Oryctolagus cuniculus: one gene and its partners. The protein of the gene in region 2 binds, or shares a complex with, the protein of the main gene of each other region. Links are inferred from orthologs where the notes say so. Each region holds a gene or a part of one and is shown on either strand. Other genes may lie near its edges.

Region 1 (4,436 bases), on a different chromosome or scaffold from region 2:
CCTGGCCCCTGGCACCCCGGAGAGGGACCCCAAGAGTTACTGTAGTGTAATTAGTCAAGATGAGATCGCCCGGACTAGAGGCGTGAGGAGGACTGGTGTCCTTACAAAAGGAGGGATTTGAGCGTGAGTGTGTGCACCAACACACATACCCAGAGATACACACAGGAAGGATATCCTGTGACGGTGAGGGCAGAGATCGGGGTGGCACGTCCACAAGCCACACACTGGCGGCAACCACAAACTCGGGAGTGGCCTGGATTAGATTCTGCCTCCGGCCTCTCAGAAGGAGCCAGTGCCCCTCCTTCCCCCACCCTGATCTCAGACTCCCTGTTAAGTGGGAGGCAGTATATTCCTGATTGCCAGGCCCCTGTCTCTGTGGGACACTGGGACAGCAGCCCTGGCTAACTGATATGGATGCCTCTCCCAGAAAGGAATGGCACAGCCTCCGTCTGACCCTGTGTTCTGTCTGCATGCTCAGGAAATACTAGGAAAATGTGTTTGAGCCAGCAGGGGGCCCAAGCGCCCCAAAGCAAGCCAGGTGCATTCTTATCAGAGAGGACCTGGGTTTTAATCCCAGTTTTGCCCAGGAGCCTGGACCATCACGTAGCTCTTCATGGCCCTGTTCCCAACAGGAAGTGGTGGCTGTGCCCCCAGACCCTCCTACTGCACCCACTCCGGATGTCAGCCCTCCGTTGCCCACCCCTCTCAGAAGGCATCCCTACAGGACGGTGAGAAAGGCCACTTGTGCTTTGTAAGGGCGGTGGACCTGGCGTTTTTGGAGAACAGCCTTGCTCTGAGCTGTATTTCCCAGGCTTCCCACCTCAGGACGTCGTGGAAGGTGACGTCACCGCCATTGTGCAGCCGCTCCATCTCGTAGCACATGTGCTTAAACAGGAGCTTGTCCTTGTCCAGGTCCACCTCCAGCCTCCCGCGCAGCAGCCGCAGCAGGAACTTCACCCGGAACGTGGGGATCACCCCCTGTGGGCAGAGCGAGCCGTCAGAGGCCGGAGGGACACGCTGGGGCTGCCCTTCTCACAACCAACCAAGCCAAAGCACACTGCCCTGGAGGCTGGGGCACAGATGTGTGCCAAGGCAGTGTGTGACAAAAAGCTAAGCCGTGCTCTTCTGTTCCAATGGGATCTGTGTTTGGAGCCAAGGAGGGTGGTAAGCTCCCCTGGGCTTCCCTGGAACCAACAGGTAAGGCTCATGCAGCTCGTTCCATTGACTAAGCCCCCACTGGGGCTCCAATCACCCATTCGCACTCTAGCATAGCCCTCCTTCAGGTACTCCAAATGCTACATGCTTCGTAGTATCTGTTACAAGTTGCTCTTCCATGGGAGGCTAGCTGCTCTCTAGTTCTTCCCCAAGATTACAACAAGTATAGACAAGAGAACTGGGCTCCCGGCTCCTCCTCCTTTCTGGATCGGAACAGTTCCAGACCCTGAGGAATCTCAAAGGCGTCACCACCTACCCTGCCAGCCCTGGGTGTCTTTGGATAACACTGGTGGCCGTGACTTCCTGTCGGCTGCTAACCTCTCAGTGTGAATGGTGATATGGGTTTCCCTGTGTGTATTGCGTGGAAGTAGGCTCCTAAAGGCAGCAGCCATGGAAGTTTCAAGTGGATCCAGAGGAGATGAAAGAGTTAGACCAGGTACTCTTCCTACAGGTCATTATCTTGGGGGAGAAATTCTGAAAGAATGAATCTTCAATGAGGGGAGGAAGAGCAAAGTGGGGTAGAGAGGGAAGGTCCTGCTCAAGGCCAGGACCCCTGAGCTGCAACACCTTCACTGGCTCCTTGGTCTCTGCACCCTCCACTGGCTCTTCCTGGCACTGTTTATGGACCTTCCCTCAGACCCTCCATGGCTGAATTCTTGTCTGTTAGATGTTAGGTCAATTATCTCCTCTCCATACTCCATCACCATCCCTGCTGAAGAAGTCTCTGTGACCCCAACCACACTCTATCATTTTACCTTCTATAAAATACTTACAGCTTATTTTTTAAAATAAAATTTGTTAGATAAGGAAACACACAGAGAAATCTCATATCTGCTGGTTCACTCTCCAAGTGCCCACAATGGCTGGAGCTGGGCCAGGCTGAAACTGGGAGCTCAGTCCAGATCTCCTACGTGGGTGGCAGGGACCCAGCTACTTCAGTCATAACGTACTGCCTTCTAGGGTGTGCATTAGCAGGAAGCTGAAATCAGAGTGGAGCCAGGACTTAAACCCAGATACTCTATAGAGGATGTGCATGTCCCAAATGGTGTCTTAACAAACTTCTTGGAATAGGTAGGTAGTAAGAAGTATTTTGGATTTCATATTTTCCCCCAGGTTTTAGAATATTTGCATATACATAATAATATGTCTTGGGATGGGAACTGAGCCTAAACAAAAATTATTTACCTTCTATACATAGCCTGAAGTTGGTCTGATCACTATTTTTAGTGTGCCTGTTTTTGACTGAGACTTGTCACATAGGTGCAGAATTCTCTACTCACCACATGGGTGCTCAAACAGTTTCAGATTTGGAAACGTTTCAGATTTCAAATCTTTGGATTAGTGATGCTCAAACTGTGCTACTACTATGGCTAATCCTTGTAGGACATAAGCTGTGTGACTCCCAGGGCCTGTCTGTCTTGTTCTCCATCTTCAGTGTCTAGAATGTGCTCGAGTGTGTGTTATGACAAAGAAGGAAGAAAAGTGAAAGGAGTGGGATGATGATGAGGAAGAAGAAACTGCTGCTGCTTTGGCTAACGCTAGAGAACCAGTAAGCTTCAGGGTCAAAACCTTCAAGTAATAACTCAGAAATGGATCAAAACACCCTTTGAGATAACCTTAAATAATGTGTTTGTAGCTTTAATCAGCAGTGCTGCTCCAAGTTGTGATCATGAGCCTGCTTATCTGCTGTCCCTTTGCTAGCTTCAGTCTCCCCCTTTTCCCGCCCTGAGCCCACAGTGGATTCCTTCTGAGCTGCTTTGACTTCCGGTCCCTGCTGACCTCACGCAAGTTGGAGGAAGAGGTTGTCGATGGCTGGAAAGGGTAAGAGGAAGAACTCCTCTGTCCTTTCTCCTCCTCACACATTCTGCAGAATTGTCAACAACAGCTTTCTGCAATTCACCAGTGGTCATTCCATGTAAGTCCACTGCCAGCCACAAAGCCAGGTAAATTTTGAGCTACGTCAGCAGATCTCTTGGGGTGCAGCATGAAACGCGTCGTTCTCCTACCTCTCTTTTGTCATCCACCATATTCCATATGATCTGGAAGTGGCGAAGATCGTTGTAACTTAGGAGCTGGTCTTCCTCAGTAGAGTAAAACAAGGAGAAATTCTCTACAATTATGGCTGAAAAAAATTCAGAAGTCAGACAATCATGCTAAGCTGTCGCTTTTTTAGGAAAAGTAAAAACCCCTATTATACATAATGGATTTTATCATCTACATTATAAGAACAAATTTTTAAAGTGCTTTTACTATGGCTTCCAAGTTGGCATGTTTTATACTTGGACTGAGCTATTCATCCAGCTTCCGCCTTTCCAAAACATGAGGGTCATGAACACACACACACACTCTGTGTAGATGACACTGATGCCAGCTGGCTTTAGCTCTTAGTGGAGAGTTCCAGGGCAGCTTTTAAAGGTCAGATTGAATTGTGTGTGGTCATACAGCTGGTGAACAACATGTATCCTTCAAAAACACAAATGCAGTATTTCAAGGCTGACAGTGGCCCTGTCTCATATTTGTTCAGCTCAATCCATGGGAAGAGCTCTTTGGAAATTAATAATTATGATAAAGAGTACGATTCTTAAAATTGCAATCAACTGTCATTTACATGCCTCTCAAAGGTCTTTCCAGCTTCTAGGTTGGAAGGCAACCATTTATAATTCATGCTGTGAAATACCCACCCCAAGCAATCCAAGCTAATTATTTGAAAATTGTACATAATTATCTAAGTACCTGAGTTTAAAGAGATGAAAACATATTCAATGAATATCACCTACCTACGAGCAGATTTAACATGATGTAGGCAATGATGACATAAAAGGAACAGAAATACATGAGTGCTCCGGCATAATTCCCACAGTCTGTCGCCCAGTATGTAAATTCATCTGGAGTGCAGAAAGGAGGCTGCACCTTTGGGGTGTTGGGGTTTGGGGAGAGGGAGGCGATGATGAGCACAGAGAATAATTTCTGTAGTTAGTGAGCATATCCCTAACCATATAGAATAAACTTCAAAGTAACTTTTCCAAAGCCGCATACATTGGGAACATCAGCTAGAGCAAAAATCAAAAGGAATATTTCATTTATGCTGTGCTTTTCGTCTTGTAGAATGCCAAGTTCACTGCCAGTTTTAGAGGCGCAAAGAAAACTGTTTGCCTCCATCAGATTCTCTTTCTGCCACCCTCACGTGCCCCAAGGGATAAGTAACCACTAGAATGCGAACT
Region 2 (4,436 bases):
TGTAAGCATAAATCTTTTAAGGACTTTGACTCATTTTATTTCCAGCTGCACAGGAACTTTGTAGTCCTGTGATTTATATAATAAAAGAAAATAAAAGTTTTTTACTTTTTTGTTCTAGAGAAAAATGACCTAGCAAACACTTACATATATATGTACATTTATATATATATATATATATATATATTTGGGATTCACTAATTTTTCGTTATAAAAATACTCTAAGATAATATCAAATCTAATAGGACACTTGAAGAAAGAGAAGGTTCATCTATGACAATTGATACATTTGCAGCATTTCTATATGAGTATTGCTTTTTAATTTTACAATTCAACATTTCTAAGAATCTATGTGCTCACTTGTTCAACATGACAGAAATCAGGCTAAAGAGTCAATATATTTCTAGGTTTGGTAGGAAAGAATCTTGCCCCTTACAGAAAGATCAAGCATGCCATTCTTGTGGACAAAGTTACTGGTCCCATCAATGTGTTCTGTGTCCTCCAAGTAGCTGTAGTTTATGCAGGAGTCTGTAAGGCTTCGAGGAAGGTTTGCACATGCCAGGGGTTCATGTGGCATCTCTGGGATGGGCACCTGGTTGCAGAGCTTCCTCATGTGCTCACTGAAGAAGTCTGCGTAGCCTACATTGAATGATGCCAATGTGGTGTTGAAGGTTGCAACCGTTATCGTGGAGATCTGGGATCGCACTAACAAAACGAAAGCAATGTCTTAGTTTTGTCCACATCAATCCGCAACATCAGTTCAACAGTTAAGCTAGTATTAACAGTCAGAGCTGTAGCTTTTGTACATGTTTGATTCATAGTCTCAAAACTATTTCAGCTTCCCTGAAATTGCCAAAGCTGTTAAAGCCATGTAATCTGATAAATAATTATAGAAATGTATGGATTCCAATTGGCTTCTTAAGGCTAGCATTTAACTTTTGTCTAACACTGACTTAGTTTGGTTGATCATAATAGGTGGATTTGACCCACTGATAGGTGACAGACAATACTTACATAAACTAGATTAGTTGAAGTATTTCATGTATGTTTTTTTAAAAAGACTTATTTTATTTATTTGAAAGGCAGAGTTACAGAGAGGAGAGAGGAGAGAGAGAAAGAAAGAGAGAGGGAGAGAGGGAGAAGGAGAGAGAGAGAGAGAGAGAGAGAGAATATCTTATATTTGCTGATTCATTCCCCAAATGGCTGCAATGGCCAGGGCATTGCCAGTCCAAATCCAGGATCTAGGTCCCCTCCCTATGTTTATGACAGTTGAAATATGTGTTTTTATATAGTGAATTAAGAAACAACAGAGTGGAAAAAATTTATTCTCATTTAGTATACAGTAAGGGAATATAAATTCATAGTACTAACTAATGTCATTGAATACTTGAAATATTCAGGGAGAAGGAGGTTAAGGTTATACATAATAATAAGAAAAATAATTCATTATTCAAGAACAAATGTAGATTAAGAATTTGTCGTTGGTTCCACCCAGAGACATATGTTTGCTCCATATAAAGTAAATAAGGCATTTCTCTGAAATAGACACTGTGGCCTTGGAAGTCAGTGACCTTCCTCCTGCTGAAGGTGCCCATGCCTTTCAGAGGGATATATTAGAGCATCAAAGCACTCCATGTAGCTGCTTCCGAGGTCTCAGCTAGCCCTGTGGAACTATGACTTCCTGAAGACAAGTATGAACAGCTTGTCCTTGTTCTCTCTGAAAGGTGTGGTGGTCTTTATCTGGTGTCAAATAACTCCTGATGCTAAGAAGACGCTAAGAATGGCTCACAAGTAAATTACCAAGCAATATCATGCAAGATACATGTTTTCAAAAAACTTAAGAAAGTGGATAACAACGAAAGTGGAACATGGTGTAAGAACAGGAAAGAGAAATAGGAACACAGGTGCGAGTTCCTGCCCACCTTCTTTGACGGTGTTTTCTCCGTGGCTGTTGGAGTGGTCTGGCAGGTCACTCACCAGCGTATGATGGGAGTGGGAGTGCCTGGCACTCAGGCTCTCCATCTCCGTGGCTGCATCTGAACTGCCCCGCCGGGTCAATTTCCCTGTGATGAACAAGACCAACACAAGAGGGCTGTAATACCTGAAAGGGTCTCTGCCCAGGTTTTGTCTTTCCAAAGGACACGCAGTGAGAGTGAGCGAATATTAGGAAGAGCAGGAAGCGCAGCCAAAATAGCAAGAATTAAATTTGCCTTGGGAATAGTCAGGGGGCAGGATGATTGATGAAGTTGCCTGTGATAAGGTCAGCCCCAGTCTAACTCAACTGTCAGAAGCCATCTGCCGTGGGCCTCCCAGCTGTCAACTTTTGATTTCAAGCTGGTCTGCTGGATATGCCTTCAATAAAGGGGAAATGTTTCATTTTCTTTGCTTGCTTTTCCCTTTTTTAAAAAATGAACTCAATAAAAGTTTGTCTTTAGATTCAAAATGAAAGGCAATTCCCAGTACCCTCTGATGCCGTTTCAGCATCTAGAATGATCTAAGAAACAGGGCCATTACCTAATTATACAGCATTCTTGCAGAGTCAGCTACATTCTCTGCGTTTCTTTGTGAACACACAGCATTGTTTTGGTGCTGGGGAGCCTGAGTCTGGGCCCAAATTTCTTGTCTAAACTGTTTAAGAAAAATTCAAATTTGCCCAGGAGCTCTAGATCCAAATTCCTGAACAGTTCCCTTGAGGTCTGCCCTATTTTGAAAGATCTTTGTGTTCACCTAAAATGGTGGTTTGCCAGCCTCCTTTTTCAATGCCTCTCCTGTCTTCTCCAAGTCCAGAGAAGCTGCCAAAGGAGAAGGTGCTGCGAGTGGGAGACACATCCAGGTGGTCCTCGTGAAGCAGGAATGGCACTCCCATTCTTCGTGGCCTCCTCTTCCCCGTGTGGTGGAATGGAATAGAGCCTTTCCTCTCCCGGTCTTCTTTGCGGCTCTTGAACTACAACAATGAGAGGAGGAGGATTAGCCACTGGAAAGGCTACAGTTTGCTTCCCAAGAGGCTCCTTGATCCACTATAGAACACAGAAAATATTCAGGGAAGACAAGACCCAGAGAGTCATTCAATATCATCCAACAGAAATAGGAGATTTTCCCCTATGTGCTAAAGGAACAAAAGAAATGAAGCTAAAGTCACACATGTCATGAATCTTTCAATTAGGACTGATCAGGGTGGTGGTCCTTTAGGTGTGGATTGGCAACATCAGCATCACTTGGGAACTTGGGAGAAATGCAATTTCTCAGGTTCAACCCCAGACATCCTGCATCAGAAACTTAGAAAGTGAGGCCCAACAATGTGGGCTTTAACAAGCCTGTTGGTGGTTTTGATGCACAATTAAATTTGAGAACCACTGGACCAGAGAAAGGGATTCCTGAGTAAATAATTGGATGAGCCTTTTTGCTGTCCCATTTTTCAAAACTGACATCCATTGTCTTGTCAGCCAACTTCAAATCTGTGCTACTGTTCATGGGGGGAAGCCACAGAAGACAGAGAGCACTCATTGGTACAAATCCATCATTCCTGCCAGGCAAAGGAATCCAAGATCAAATGAAATAGGAGTTTAACACTGCAACTGAGAAGCTTTCAAAAAAAATGCCACTACCTGGGCTTAGCCTTTGGGAACTCAGATTTAATTGATTTGGAATTAGGCAGGGGCACTTATATTTTTAAAAACTCCTCAACTTTTTCAGGTACAAAAGTGTCAAAAATGTCTTTTCCCCCTCAAATAGCAATGTTTTTGGGGAAATGAAAGCCATTGCTGATGGTGCATTATTAATGAAGACAGGGCTGTTTACTTTAACAATACTCTAAGCTCATACGTAAGTTAATATGTTCTGTGGTTCTACATTGACACATTAAATTAATAATTTTGAAAAAGAGAAAACCACTGTTTATTTTCAGTTTACACATGTTATTTTCTACGTGGTTAGTACCATGTACTTAAAAAAAAAAATGAAGTGTGGGGCGGGTGTTGTGGTGCAGTGTGTTAAGCCACCGCTTGGGATGCCAGCATGCTGTATGGGAGTATGGCTTTGAACTCTGGCTATTCTGCTTCTGATCCCGTTTTCTGGTAATGCTGAGAGGCAGCAGCAGAAGGCTCAAGTCCCTGCCATTTGTGTAAGACTAGGATGGAGTTCCAGGCTCCTGGCTTTGACTTGGCCCTGGCTGTTGAGAGCTTTTGAGGAGTGAGCCAGAAGATGGATGATCTGTTTGTGTGTATGTGCACGTAGGGGTGTGTGTGTGTGTGTGTGTGATTCTTTCAAATAGATGAAAATAAATAAACATAAAAATAGGAGACAGAGTGTAGTGGTGGTTTTACAAGTGCATGAACTATTTAACTAGAAGGCTCACTTTTGAATTTAAGTTTAATGTTGGACAAATTGTGTAACATTTTTAAAGGTCAATTTATTATCTGCAAAACAGGAAGAATAAGGAT
Region 3 (4,436 bases), on a different chromosome or scaffold from region 2:
TCTTTTACTTAGTGTGGGATTAATTTTACAACCCTTTACAAGTTTTTAAAATTTCATGTGAGGATGGACTTTTCTGCTAAGGTGTACAGCTGTTGCTACTACCATTTTATGAGTCACTTGTTAAATGCTTTGCCTTTGTTTTTCATTGGGATGGTTCACATTTTTCCTTATGACTTCTGGGTCTTCTTCGTGGTTTTTCCTTCAGTTATTAATCTTTTCTCTATTTCAGGTTATGGACTATAACATTAATCTGGGAAAACACCTTCTCCCCTTGGTGGTTCAGGTGCTCAAATACTGCTCTTGTCCTCAACTGCGACATTATTTCCAACAGCCACCTCGCTGTTCCCTCTGGTCCCTAAAGCCTCACATCCGGCAGATGTGGTTGAAGGCCTTGCTTGTCATCCTGTACAAGGTGAGTCGCCATCGTCCCTCCTTCTGCGGGTGGGAGGATTCCGCTAGAGGAGCTGCTGACCGGGTGGCTGACCACTGATACTCAGCTGTCTAGAGGGAAATGATGCTATACCATTTCACATATCAAAACTGCCTTCTCTCCTTCCCTCACCTCCCTCTCTCTCTTGCTATGTAAATACTCATTGTGCATATTTACTGTAGATATATAAATGGAAAGCTTAAAACTCCATAAAACCTGTGATGACAATAGCTTACCAACATGGAACACCCTTAGGGATTCAAGTTGAGAATTTTGTAGGGTAGAAGTTTGACCTTCACAAGAATAATTGTGATATGTAATTAGAAGAAACAAACAGCTACTGGAATAAAAATAGACAAGGGAGACCATGTCATTGTGTGCTCTAAAAATGTTTAAAGCAAAAAAAAAAAAAATGAATTGTAGGACATTTATCAATAACTACTGTTTATGCTTGGAATCTCGCATTTTATCTAAGTATTAATTATTATGTCAGAAAACAAAGAAGATACTTGAAAGTGTATTCACCCACCAAAGGTTTCTGCCAGATAATTTTCTTGAAAGCAATTGGAACAATGAACTGTCATGTGTTGCTGTCAGTGGTTTGGCGCAAGAGGAAGGGAATATGATCCCTTTAGAAAATAAGGCGTGCTCAGAATCTGTGCTTTCAATTGTCTGTGTGTATTTATTTTTATCTCCAAGTAATACGGAGGAATAGATCTGGCCAGGTCAAGTGGGAAGATGTACCCTGTGAATTAACCGTTTGTGTCTTTCTCCTTCCGTTTCTTGTTCAGTATCCGTACCGAGACTGTGAGATCAGCAAACTCCTGCTGCACCTGATTCACATAACAGTCAATACCCTCAATGCCCAGTACCATAGCTGCAAGCCCCATGCCACGGCAGGACCTCTGTACAGTGACAGCAGTAACATCAGCAGATACAGTGAGAAAGAAAAAGGTACTTCCATCCTGGGATTCTCTCCCAGACTTAGCTCAAATACAAAATACATTTCTGTACAGTGTTTTTCTTACGAGGTAGAAGAGCACCCTCCGATACCATTCTGGAGTCCAAAAAAAAAAAAAATCACTGACCACTTAGTTAATTTTCCCACTTTGCCATGAATGTTATTGCTTTAACTTTCTAATTGGGCATTCGAGAGAAATAATATGCTTCTGAAGCCCTAGCATGTTTTATAAAATATATGCTGCTGTTTGATTCAGAAAGCTTTGTAAGCCGTTCCTTGAGTATTGGAAATACCCTGCCCCTGGGCTGTGAGTAGATCTTGGTTGGCACTTGGGGGAGCCATCATGTGTAGGTCTCTAGCTTGCTCCTGAACTTAGGGTTCCCAGGATTTGAACAGAGTCTCAATGGGCTGATGTGCTTTCCCCCAGCCTCATTATTCAACAGGGAATAATTCAAGGCAGTGAAAGTGACACAGTTGTGCTGCGTAGATTTAAATCATTTCCCATGTTGACACCATTTCTATTGATAGAGTTTCCTCCAGGGAGGCAGTAGAATGAAGATGTAGACAGAGTGAGATCACAGCCTGGGTGTTTTCAGGTGGAAGACGAAGAATGAAGGCGTAGCCTTCGGCTTGTAAAAGGCAGCACCATCTGCTCTAGTCCTGGGAGAAAGCCGAGTGGGTCGTGATCCTTGGTGGTATTAGTACAGTCTGATTTGGTAAGGCTTCTGGAAGTGTCTCCATCGAATGGGTTGTAAGCAGCGTTGCACTGGTTTTTGTGGAACAGTCCAAGAACCTAGGGTGTCTGCAGACACCAGTCTGAGAACTGGGTTCTGTAAGTTCTGGTGTCATCCGGATCCTTCCGGAAGCATGGCTTGGCTATCAGCTTGGGTCTTAGTGTCTGAGAGTTTAGATTCTGATAAACTAAGGATGTAAAACCTTTCTGGGTGGGAGGTGCCATCTTGTGGTCTTCTGTCTGTTGTATAATAGAAGTGACAGTTATTTGCTTGAAAAACTATATTTCAAAGGAGATTGTTCTGAAAAGGAAATAAAGACATAGATCATTTTGTTGCATTTCCCTGCAAACAGGGGCACTTGATAGGCATTCGCATCTCTGTGGAAGTTCCCTGGAGGGGGGTTGTCTCCATTTTGATCGTGAACACTTTTTGTTTGGTTAAAAAGATTAGTATGGTTATTTCATCTACAATTTACTGCTTCCAGTTTCATATATTTGTGGAATCTTGTGTATTGGAACAGAATCAGTCCTTTAATTTTTCTATACCCCCTTGTAAGAAATCTCGAATAATCATAATCACACCTGAGCCTTATTTTGTCACATAGGTAGATCTACATATAGGCCAAATAGTATACTTCCGGTGATATTCAACTCAAATATTAGCTTATCTCCATTTGTTGTGGTAGGAAATGCATTTAGTAGCCTTTTTGGGGCTTTGCTTTTGCCATTTTGTGGGTAGCTTCGGCTTTGTGAAGGATAAAAGGAGGGAATTTGTTGAGTGCACTCCTTGGCTAACAGCATAGGAATCGTTTCCTCATTAACTGTACTGGGGTTATGTCTGCGTCCAAAGTGGCCCGATGGGGGTAGAAGCAAGGCCTGGAAACAAGCGCATCAGGCGCTCTGAGAGAATGCCTGCCTGCGGAGCCTTAGGGCCGCGGGAGCGCAGGTTCTCTCTGGGATTCCGCAGACCGAGAGCAGTTACGTGTGGTGGACTCCTCGGGGGAGGGGCTTCCACAGGGAGGAAATATTATTTTCTGTTTCCTTTTTCCTTTGTTTCCTCTTTCAGTCCATGATCATTTGTGGAGCTTTTGAGATGACCAGTGGCTTTTCTAAGCTTTTTCTGTGTGTTGTGTGTTTCATTACCAAATGTAGAGTACAGTATTTTGCATTCACAAAGTATAAGGTGCATGTACTGTTAGGCTGTGTCTATGCCAGTTCCCAGATCCCAGGGAGGCATATGCTTTTTTGGAAAGGGCAAGACCCACTCATGATGTTTGATTTCGTTTTGTCAAATGAGCTGCCCAGAGCAGGCAAGTTCAAGCGGTGTCACAGATTCCTGGAAAAAGTCCTGGCATCTGTGTGTCACCGGGTTCTACGCACGCTGGAAACGGTCCCCAGGAAGGCTCTACTGAAATACTGAGATGCCTCTCATAAAAATGCTGCCAGTTGTCACATAGAAAACGATGGTGGCTCTGCTGGATCGCTTGTTGCATGGATAAAACACCCACCTGTGGCTGGGCGGGTGCTGGTGCCGAAATCACTGCAGACTGTGTTCCCCAATGCTTTCAGTGAATTGCTTGTGTAGACACAGCCTAAGAGAGAATAACCTCTTAAGTGTAATTTTGACTTTCTCTCCCCAATTAGAAGAAGATAGTGTTTTTGATGAATCTGATATTCATGATACACCTACTGGACCCTGCCATAAAGAGTCTCAAACTTTTTTTGCAAGATTGAAAAGGATAGGCGGCAGCAAAATGGTGAAATATCAGCCGGTTGAGATGAATGTTCAGAGAAGTATGAATTTTTTCTCTTAGTAATTTTATGCAAAAATGTTGTACTCTACCGTTTGTTTGGGGTGAAATCTTAATTTTATTATGTTACTACGCATTTTAAGACTGTTGATTTATATATATATATGTATGCACAAACAGTATATATATATACCCGCTTATATATATACGTGAATTGACAGATACGCCATTAATGTCATGATCGTCTTCGAGGGCCATTGCTTGACTTGATTTGTTGCAGAATGTTTGCTTCTCTTCCACCCAATTTGAATACAGTTTCCTAGTACTGCCTCAGCCAACAAACCAACAAAACACAGATTCTTTCTGCTGTGCACAAATGAATAGAGCTGAGGAATTATCCCAAAGCCTGATTTTTGGAAATCAGACCTTAAACTATCATTTCGGTTTCTTTCATTGCAAAGTTTTCCAGTTTTTGAAATGAGAATGAACCTTACGAAAACTTGGCCAGATAGTTGGTTTTCTTTTCTAGTGGAGCTGGGATTGTCATGATGATTTATGCCA

What was found.
Region 1: the proteins of UNC80 (region 2) and NALCN are in contact, whole or in part, in a cryo-EM structure (PDB 7SX3), measured with the Homo sapiens proteins. The link is inferred for Oryctolagus cuniculus from reciprocal best matches to the Homo sapiens genes UNC80 and NALCN. Residues at the interface, in NP_115893.1 of Homo sapiens: Lys1979, Asn2004, Glu2005, Cys2006, Asp2007, Leu2128, Arg2129, Leu2130, Pro2131, Pro2134, Arg2135, Ile2138, Asp2139, Phe2142, Phe2145, Ser2146, Glu2179, Asp2184, Glu2185, Met2187, Leu2188, Asn2191, Asn2194, Ile2198, Leu2199, Glu2202, Ser2226, Leu2227, Ser2228, Gln2231; in NP_001337678.1 of Homo sapiens: Asn639, Met643, Val644, Ile646, Lys648, Leu649, Pro650, Phe653, Val655, Pro656, Lys657, Ile658, Arg659, Glu660, Phe662, Met663, Lys664, Gln665, Phe666, Ile667, Arg669, Val711, Ser713, Arg715, Ala716, Arg717, Leu719, Lys722, Glu723, Ala725.
Region 3: the proteins of UNC80 (region 2) and UNC79 are in contact, whole or in part, in a cryo-EM structure (PDB 7W7G), measured with the Mus musculus proteins. The link is inferred for Oryctolagus cuniculus from reciprocal best matches to the Homo sapiens genes UNC80 and UNC79. Residues at the interface, in NP_780719.2 of Mus musculus: Gln23, Thr24, Trp27, Ser31, Leu34, Arg35, Pro36, Ala80, Pro83, His84, His87, Ser94, Asn95, Asn180, Ala183, Leu187, Phe190, Leu191, Arg337, Leu340, Gln341, Pro342, His343, Arg1317, Asp1320, Glu1321, Asp1324, His1545, Val1546, Asp1547; in XP_030102533.1 of Mus musculus: Thr120, Tyr123, Ser127, Ala130, Thr131, Leu168, Ser169, Ser172, Met175, Ile176, Gln179, Tyr180, Tyr207, Tyr211, Gly212, Pro213, Ser214, Val390, Cys391, Glu394, Glu402, Phe405, Arg472, Cys541, Asp917, Phe920, Ser965, Glu966, Phe967, Ser968.

What each region holds. Positions count from the first base shown.
Region 1 is NC_091440.1:11,691,136-11,695,571, reverse strand, and holds part of NALCN (sodium leak channel NALCN), read right to left. Parts: intron 4,126-4,436; coding exon 3,993-4,125; intron 3,338-3,992; coding exon 3,222-3,337; intron 979-3,221; coding exon 821-978; intron 1-820. UniProt on the Homo sapiens protein: Voltage-gated ion channel responsible for the resting Na(+) permeability that controls neuronal excitability. NALCN channel functions as a multi-protein complex, which consists at least of NALCN, NALF1, UNC79 and UNC80.
Region 2 is NC_091434.1:30,083,455-30,087,890, forward strand, and holds part of UNC80 (protein unc-80 homolog), read right to left. Parts: intron 2,942-4,436; coding exon 2,725-2,941; intron 2,061-2,724; coding exon 1,920-2,060; intron 703-1,919; coding exon 434-702; intron 1-433. UniProt on the Homo sapiens protein: Auxiliary subunit of the NALCN sodium channel complex, a voltage-gated ion channel responsible for the resting Na(+) permeability that controls neuronal excitability.
Region 3 is NC_091451.1:38,574,542-38,578,977, forward strand, and holds part of UNC79 (protein unc-79 homolog), read left to right. Parts: intron 1-229; coding exon 230-412; intron 413-1,221; coding exon 1,222-1,384; intron 1,385-3,768; coding exon 3,769-3,918; intron 3,919-4,436. UniProt on the Homo sapiens protein: Auxiliary subunit of the NALCN sodium channel complex, a voltage-gated ion channel responsible for the resting Na(+) permeability that controls neuronal excitability.